Linked DNA regions of Nothobranchius furzeri. The protein of the gene in region 1 interacts with the protein of each later gene in a pairwise test. Links are inferred from orthologs where the notes say so. Each region holds a gene or a part of one and is shown on either strand. Other genes may lie near its edges. The genes, in order: bag3 and arrdc3a.

Region 1 (3,519 bases):
ACATCCCCATCCCGGTGATCCACGAGGGTGGGGGGGGCCAAACGCAGCCTCAGTTAAACTCCTCGGTCTATTCTCAGCGCATTCCCTTCTCGGACCACCGTCACCAGACAGAAGACTGGCCCGGCTTCTCTGCTGCTATGCAGCCCCCCAGGGAGAGGGCTTCTCCAACAATATTCACCCCCCATCGCGACTCTGCCTCTGTTCACCTCCCACCTCACGTCAGAAGTCACTCTCCTATTAAAACGCAAGTGATGGGAGAAAGACCACCGGTACGTTTAATGTTTCCGCTTGCCTCTTGTTTCTCTAACTGAATTAGAACATACATGAGGCCACTCAGAAGTATTATCATAGGCAATGTTCATCTTTATTTATATAGTCTTTGCATTTACGACAGTTGAGTTTAGTTTAGACTTTTTACTTTGATCAGGACATGAATTCGGAAAACATTTGACCTTTTTCCATCACTATTTCCTCTTTTGACTTTTTCACTGCAAACATTTTTTACCTTTTCCGGAAGTAATATTTACAGTTACAGTTTTTTTCATCAACGTTTTGAAGTTAAAGGGAGAGGTTCTAGAACAACTCTTCGAGAACTATCTTTGAGTGTCTGCATAACATATGGAACTTTGTTGGGGCTCAAAATGACACAGGAGCCCTGATAAACTGACACATTTCAGAATAAAGCCTTACAATGGTAAGATTGGTTTGCTCCACCCACTCAGCCAGGAGATGAATATTCAATGAGCTGCATGCTGATTGGCCTGTTTAGCCTGATGGCTCTATGACGCTGCATAATCCGGGTAACTCAATAGGCAAGCTACGGATCTATCGGGCATTCATCCAAAGTCTGGATATGCCCAGAACATCCTGGAGTGTTAGATGCCTGCTCTGACATTTTTCATTGTTGTTTTCCTCTCATCCAATAAGGAAATCAGCAGTAGGTCAGGCTAGCATTGTTCTACGGTTAGCATTACCACCACCACCATGTATTTACTGCTGACATGGAACTGGGTTAGGAGACGCTGATTTAAGAGGTGTTAAACCAACTTTTCTCAGAAAAACAAGTTTCTCCATGACTACGTTTACATGCAGCCAATATCCGGGTTATGATCGGGTTAAGGTCGGGATTCGGGTTTCTGAGTTGATCAGAATAACCCGTTTACAAGCATAAATAAAAAGAGATACCTCTAACTTGCATAACCCGATTTAAATGCGGACGTTGGGGTAGCGTCAGGACGTATGGACTACGTCCAGACGCAGTGTGCGTCATTTCCGGTTCTTCTTGTTCCGGTATCCGTGAAAACAACAACATGTTTCCCAGTTCGGAAGAGATAGCGACCGCGCTTGTTTGCGCTTTAGTTTCCTCGTCACTCCAAAAGTGTGGTGCTGTGCCGCGACTCGCCATGTTGCTCCCAACTTGTTGTTTACTTCCGGTGTTCTGGCGCATACAAGACGTCTCGCTACTCAAAAGACCAAGATTCCTTGCTAACAGAGCATGTGCAGAACACACGCTTTGATGGGGATATCCCGATATGCGTTTACACGACCAAACATTCGGGTTAGAAAAGGGTTACCCCAGGTGTAGTAACCGGGTTTTTAAAAACCCGGTTATGAGCATATCCGGGTTTCTGGCGGTGTTTACATGGACCTGCGGAACTTGTGAATGTTTGGGTTTTAAAAGGGTTACTGGCTGCATGTAAACGCACTCCATGACCATTACAACATTACTAATTTGCATTGCAAAGCAGACTCCCCAAGCTGCCTGTATTCAACAACAAGGAAACAGCGGTTCTGAATTCTAGGACCCCTTTAATCTCTAAACTAGAAAGCAGTAAAACTCTTTCTGTTTCTCAAAAGCTTTTTTTTTCCTTCCGAGTTGCCCTAATATCCCCCATAAGTTACACATGGATCACAAAAACGTAGTTTTGTTTTTGCTTTTAAGGCTCCACAGCGTGTGCTCTCAAAAGACCCGCCGCAGAAAATGGAGCAGGAGCAACAAAGCACGCAGCAGAAACCTGAGAACACGTCATCTCCTCAAATGCTACACACCAAGGCCGACATCCAAAAGCCTCAGCCGTTCCAGCAGGCACCGCCTCAGACTCCGCCTCCACAGCAAGAACAGTCGCAGCAACAGAAGCACCAAAAGCCGGAGTTTCCTCAACATCACGTGGCGGACATTACAGTTCAAATACCTCCAAAACCGGAGTCCCAGGACGGGATGACCACACCCCCAGAGGTGCCGCCTGTTCAGGCAGAGGCTGAACATGCCGGCCAGTGTGCTGTCCACCCAGGCTTGGCTAAGGTGCAGCAGATCGTTGAAAGGGTGGCTAAACTGGAGCAGGAGGTGAAAAGTTTTAGCGGAAAGAAGAACGATAAGAAGTATTTGTTATTAGAGGAGCTTCTGACCAAAGAGCTCCTAGCTCTTGACTCTGTTGACCCCGAGGGCCGTGCAGACGTACGGCAAGCAAGACGGGATGGAGTCCGACGAGTGCAGAACATACTGGAAGAACTGGAGCAACTGGAGGAGCAGCCCATGGGACCCGCCAGTGACGTGGAGGGACACGGCCTGACTCAGAAAGGAGAGGCCGGCATGATCACTCATAAGAATGTTGAGACGGCGAAGGAGATATCCTAGTGACTGCACCGATTTTCTAATGTACCAGGAGAAATGGATCATGTGCTGTGTATCTGAGCAAGTTGCATGCATTGATTAAAGGTGTCAGTTCAGCACACAATTACCGATCGCTCAGTGGATTCGTGTTGTTCAAGCCATCGTTGTTGCCTTCTATGTTGCGCCAATGTCTTCACAAAAAGATCATCGTCAGTGAGATGTTGACAACAAGCACTAAGTGAGCTGAAGTTTAAAAAAAAACGAGGCCTTTACCAAACAGACGGAAGACAAACAAAAGTATTTTCCTAAGAGCTCTTATTTGTGGTCGTCTTTTGTCTGATTAAATGTTGTTCGGAGCTTTTCTTTTTCAGTCAGCAGAACGTCACTTGGTACACGAGTAGAAGCGGTGGGACTTTAAACCCGTCAACAGACGAAGATGTTCTTCAGAGTTGGAACCGCTTTGTCTAAAATGAAGAGAAAAGCTTTTTTAAAGAGTGGAACTAGTTTACCAGATGCTGCTTTTGGGTGCATTGCTGATTCAGCCGTTTTTGCACTTTGCCATAACAGAAAATAGATCCTGCTGATAATCGGCAGCACGTCGTTTTGAACCACGTCACTTAGACACGTTTTGTTTTTGAGTGTTTGTATGTGAATCAGTCTACTTGCAAATTATGATATCACTATTTATATCACTGAGTATTTTGGTACATTTATGTGTGTGTGGACAAGCGGGGTGAGATGCACAGCTACTCGATGCGAGACAATCGGCACCTGCTGCTAAGCTGGAGTCCTGTTTAAGACTGTCAGAATGTCCTTGTACAACTACCAAAGCCACAATCTTTAGTCCCACAATAACGGCCTCAAAGCTTTAAAACCCCTGCGATCGCGCCCTTGCTCAGACACCACAG
Region 2 (4,357 bases), on another chromosome or scaffold:
TCCTCGGAACTCCAACAGATATCTAAAAGTAAAGAAAAAAATTCCCAAACTGAGGCTTTTCACGGGTTTTACCCTAACGTGTTGTCTTTTTTCTTTTTTAAATAATTTATTTTTACTACCGCGCTGTCGGTGGGAGGTATTGTATTTACTTCCTGGTCATGATTTCAAAATAAAAGTATACTATAAAAAAAGGGGGGGTGGGGGGGTTGTTTCGTGTCCATGGGGACAAAGAATGAAACTGATATTTAGAAGGAACTGAAATAAAATAAAACTCAAACAAAATCCATCGTTCATTAACCAATTCATGCATAAAAGTATAGTACCACGAATTAATAAATTATAAACATTGCTAGAAGAGTGTCCCATCTTTTTAATTCAGCGGCAAAGTGGACACTAGAGGGCAGCATGCAACTAGGCATTAAACGTTTGTTTTTTTATTTATTTTTTTAATATTTTGCTGAGCTGGCACTGCAGTCATCCCACCTGTATCTATTGACATCCTAACGTTTAAGGTGCATGTCAATGTGTCCTTTGTATAGATAAAGTAAACAGCTTTCCAGATGTGTTTTATGTAATATGGGAAAAAAACATTAATGAATGCACTAAATGGCATTACATATGGTGTGTCAGGGAATCTATGAAGTTTATTGGATTTAATTGGAGGTAAATGGCATTTGTTAATACTAAATTATAAAATAAAAAATCCCCGTCAGGACAATAATGCCTGATTACCTTTCGGGCAGCATCCCCATACTGGCTGATTAAAAGTAAAGAACATTGGTATTGTTGCAGATCAACAGGTGATTCTGCTGCAGCCCATAGTGGGAACATTGGTTGCCACTAGGTGGCGTTTTGAGTCACGAGTTGTTTTTCTGAAAACTGGGAGCTCAACACAATGAGAAAGAGTCTTCTCAACATACACGGATCAGAATCAGTTAAATAACAATCAAAATGGGTCAGGTATATGAGTTACAACCACAGATGATCTGTTTTTAGTTTTATAATTAATATGCATGTTCTATACATCTACTCTGAACAGCCCTATGCCGTGTGCATCATGCAAAATGCAGCTCTTTGGATTTTACAATGACATTGCTCTGATTATGTAAAAGCGTTGTGTAAAGTGTTCACAATAAGCCTGCAGGCTGTGGCTCCAAAATAAAAACAAAATTCACACGTTTTGTGTGATTTTAAAAAATACTTACTCAAATATTGAGGTGGACTATGTACAGACTGGACTAAATCTTATTATTATATTGATAATTGATATTTTTAATGTTACAATTCGCCCCAAAAGCCTCACCCAGGACTATTGCAAATATTTCTTTATGCGGTGTTTCAGGTGCTTTTACCATACTTGCAGGGCGGCTGGATGAATGTGAGCTTTGCCTCACACTGCTCTGCCTGCCTTGTTCCAGAAGGCGAGAAGGTGGGGGCTGTGCAGCCACGCGCAGGCGCAGAAGGTTGTTTTTCACACAGCTTCTGGTTTAAAGTGAGCTGAGCTCCGGGGGTTTCCTTGTCTGTGACTGAGACCATCAAGGAGACAGGCAGATGATAACAGCATCCATTGCTGGTTATCAGCCTTCACAAAGCTCAATGAACTGCTCACAAAGAAGCCACTGATCGTGCCCGCTGCTTCTTGCAGGGCAGAGATACTGATCAGTGTCTCCAACCCCGTTTTTCTTATGAGATTATTTTTTCATTAACTCCTTTTTTTAGAGCTCGAGAAGATCTCTTTCCGCCATGGTGCTAGGAAAGGTAAAGAGCTTCATAGTGAGCTACGACTGTTTTAATGACAGCAACGTCCCCGTCTTCTCCAGCGGGGACTCCGTCTCAGGGAGGGTGATCGTCGAAGTCACCGGAGAAATCCGGGTGAAATCTCTCAAAATCCACGCAAAAGGAATAGCAAAAGTTCGTTGGACTGAGTCAAGAAACGCTGGATCCAACACTGCCTACACCCAGAACTACACAGAAGAAGTGGAATACCTGAACTACAAAGATATTTTAATTGGACATGAAAGAGGTAAGAAGTTTTGTAGAAATTGTGATGCTCCCCTGGTTGGGGATCAGGTTCGCTGAAAGATATAGAGTTGCAGGGCTCAATAACAGGATAATTGGTTCGATTAAAGACTAAATAAAGACCTGTCACTTTATTGCCTTATTTCAGACGAGATGTTCGGTGGGTATTTAGTTGTCTTTTAAAATCTCCATCGTTGCTTGTTTTTGTGGTCAGAATGAATGACAGCTGCTCACGTATCTTGTGTTTTTCATGGCATTTGAGGCGCATAGGGAGGATTTATCTCATTTAAATACATATTGGAATTGAGTTGATTCTGTATTTTATAGCTATGAAGCTTTGTTTAGAAATTTCATCGCTAAACAACGATGAAGTTTCCACCTATTGTTCAAAGCGGTTCAATCCTGTTCCGAAAACTGGTTTGCGAGGGGGCGGGGGGAAAGCCAGAGCGCACCCTGGCTCGTGTGTGATTGGTTAAGATGCTAGTGTGTGGCCAATGACATCATTCCCCTGCAGAGTGGCAGAAAAAACTGCAACTTTTTAATCAATGTAAAACACCTGCAGGACACGAAAATTGGTGGTTTTACTGTAAATTTTAAGGAATTGTGAGTTGCAACCAGGATGTGCTGGACATTTGAGATTTCTTTGCTCTTAATTTTTAATTAAAATCAAGAGTTTTTTTTTTCTTATACCAGTGAATGCAGTAAAGCTTTTATTTGCATGTATTCGGTTAGGTCTGTTAGCATGGATTATGTTAAGCTAACATGTCCGAGACGTGGTGATATTGTCGCTGAACGATTTAATATTTATTAGCGTTGGGAACACGTGTTTAAATAAGTGGGTAGCAGCTCCTTTAGTCTTACGGGACCACAGAGCTTGTCAGACGCATTTATGTATGTGGTTGTTGTGACTGCGGCGTCGCGGAGTGAATACGTAATGCCGAGGGAAGCTGCTCACACCGGTTTAGTCCGGTCTTCTCCTGCTGGAGTCTGTCTCTTGACTGACAGCTCCGCACTTGTTTACCACACGGCTTCTGCTAGGGGGAGGGTGTGCTGAGCTGGCAAGGGCTGCGCACACGTCCTTATCCGCCACATATTTACCTTTTCATGTAAAATGAGCAATATTAAATAAAAAATTCATAATTCCCCCCCCAAAATAAGTGAGAAGGCATCGCTTCGCTTTGCCCCATAAAATTACTTGTGCATTAGCATCACTCACGTTCAGTTTCTGATTTCTCCAAATTTTACTCTGCTGTTTTTTAAAATCTCAATACACTTAATTTCTAACAGACAAGATCAATTGTAAAACCCGTTTATTCTCTTTTTGTCTCCCCCACCCTGTGTTCTTTGATATGACTTACAGATGCCTTCGTAGAGCATTTTGTCCAGGTATGGTATACATGTGTTTGGAATATTGTCCTCCTTGTTTTTCAGACGATGACAACTCGGAGGAAGGACTCACTACAATCCATGCAGGAAGGCATGAGTATGCATTCAGCCTCGAGCTTCCACAGACGTAGGTGTCCCAATACGAAACTAGAATCAGAGAAAAAGTTATTTAGATTTGAGAACTTGACCGTTTTTCTCCTTTCTGCCCTTCTTTTACCGTCACCTGCAGACCTCTGGCTACCTCTTTTGAAGGAAAACATGGCAGTGTGCGCTACTGGGTGAAGGCAGAGCTCCACAGGCCATGGCTCCTGCCCATGAAGACTAAGAAGGAATTTACAGTCTTTGAGCACATTGACATCAACACTCCGTTATTGCTGGTAAGAAGTCATAGGAATGATGAAATGCATAGCTTTTATGTTTGTAAACTAAGAAAAAATGTTTATAAGATGTTTTTTCTCTACTTTTTCAGTCGCCTCAGGCCGGCACAGCAGACAAGACGCTTTGCTGTTGGTTCTGCACCTCAGGTCCAATTTCCCTAAGTGCCAAAATTGAAAGGAAGGGATACACCCCAGGTGAGGATAAGTGAATAAACGATAAGGTTGTTACTCATCTGTTTACCAGATGAGCCAATGGGATGATCACATTCTGCAGGATTCTCTACTTGTTACTGATTACTCATAATTAGGGTTCCTATCACTAGAGAAAAATATTAACTTCCATTATGTCTTATATTTGTGTAGGCGAGTCTATCCAGATATTTGCCGAGATCGAGAACTGCTCGTCCCGCGTGGTGGTGCCAAAGGCGGCCATCTACCAGACACAGACCTTCTATGCCAAAGGAAAGGTGAAGGAGGTCAAGCAACTGGTGGCCAACCTGCGGGGGGAGTCCTTGTCCTCTGGCAAAACGGAGACCTGGAATGGCAAAATGCTGAAGATCCCACCTGTGTCCCCC

The links.
Region 2: the proteins of bag3 (region 1) and arrdc3a interact in binary tests that used the Homo sapiens proteins (3 or more experiments, as listed by UniProt). The two-hybrid records come from large-scale screens. The link is inferred for Nothobranchius furzeri from reciprocal best matches to the Homo sapiens genes BAG3 and ARRDC3.

The regions. Positions count from the first base shown.
Region 1 is NC_091752.1:5,536,445-5,539,963, reverse strand, and holds the end of bag3 (BAG family molecular chaperone regulator 3), read left to right. Parts: coding exon 1-269; intron 270-1,942; coding exon 1,943-2,635; 3' UTR 2,636-2,881; downstream 2,882-3,519. UniProt on the Homo sapiens protein: Co-chaperone and adapter protein that connects different classes of molecular chaperones including heat shock proteins 70 (HSP70s), e.g. HSPA1A/HSP70 or HSPA8/HSC70, and small heat shock proteins (sHSPs), e.g. HSPB8.
Region 2 is NC_091757.1:41,571,235-41,575,591, reverse strand, and holds the start of arrdc3a (arrestin domain-containing protein 3a), read left to right. Parts: upstream 1-1,532; 5' UTR 1,533-1,743; coding exon 1,744-2,023; intron 2,024-3,379; exon of another isoform or gene 3,380-3,407; coding exon of another isoform or gene 3,408-3,450; coding exon 3,451-3,532; intron 3,533-3,634; coding exon 3,635-3,782; intron 3,783-3,874; coding exon 3,875-3,977; intron 3,978-4,145; coding exon 4,146-4,357. UniProt on the Homo sapiens protein: Adapter protein that plays a role in regulating cell-surface expression of adrenergic receptors and probably also other G protein-coupled receptors.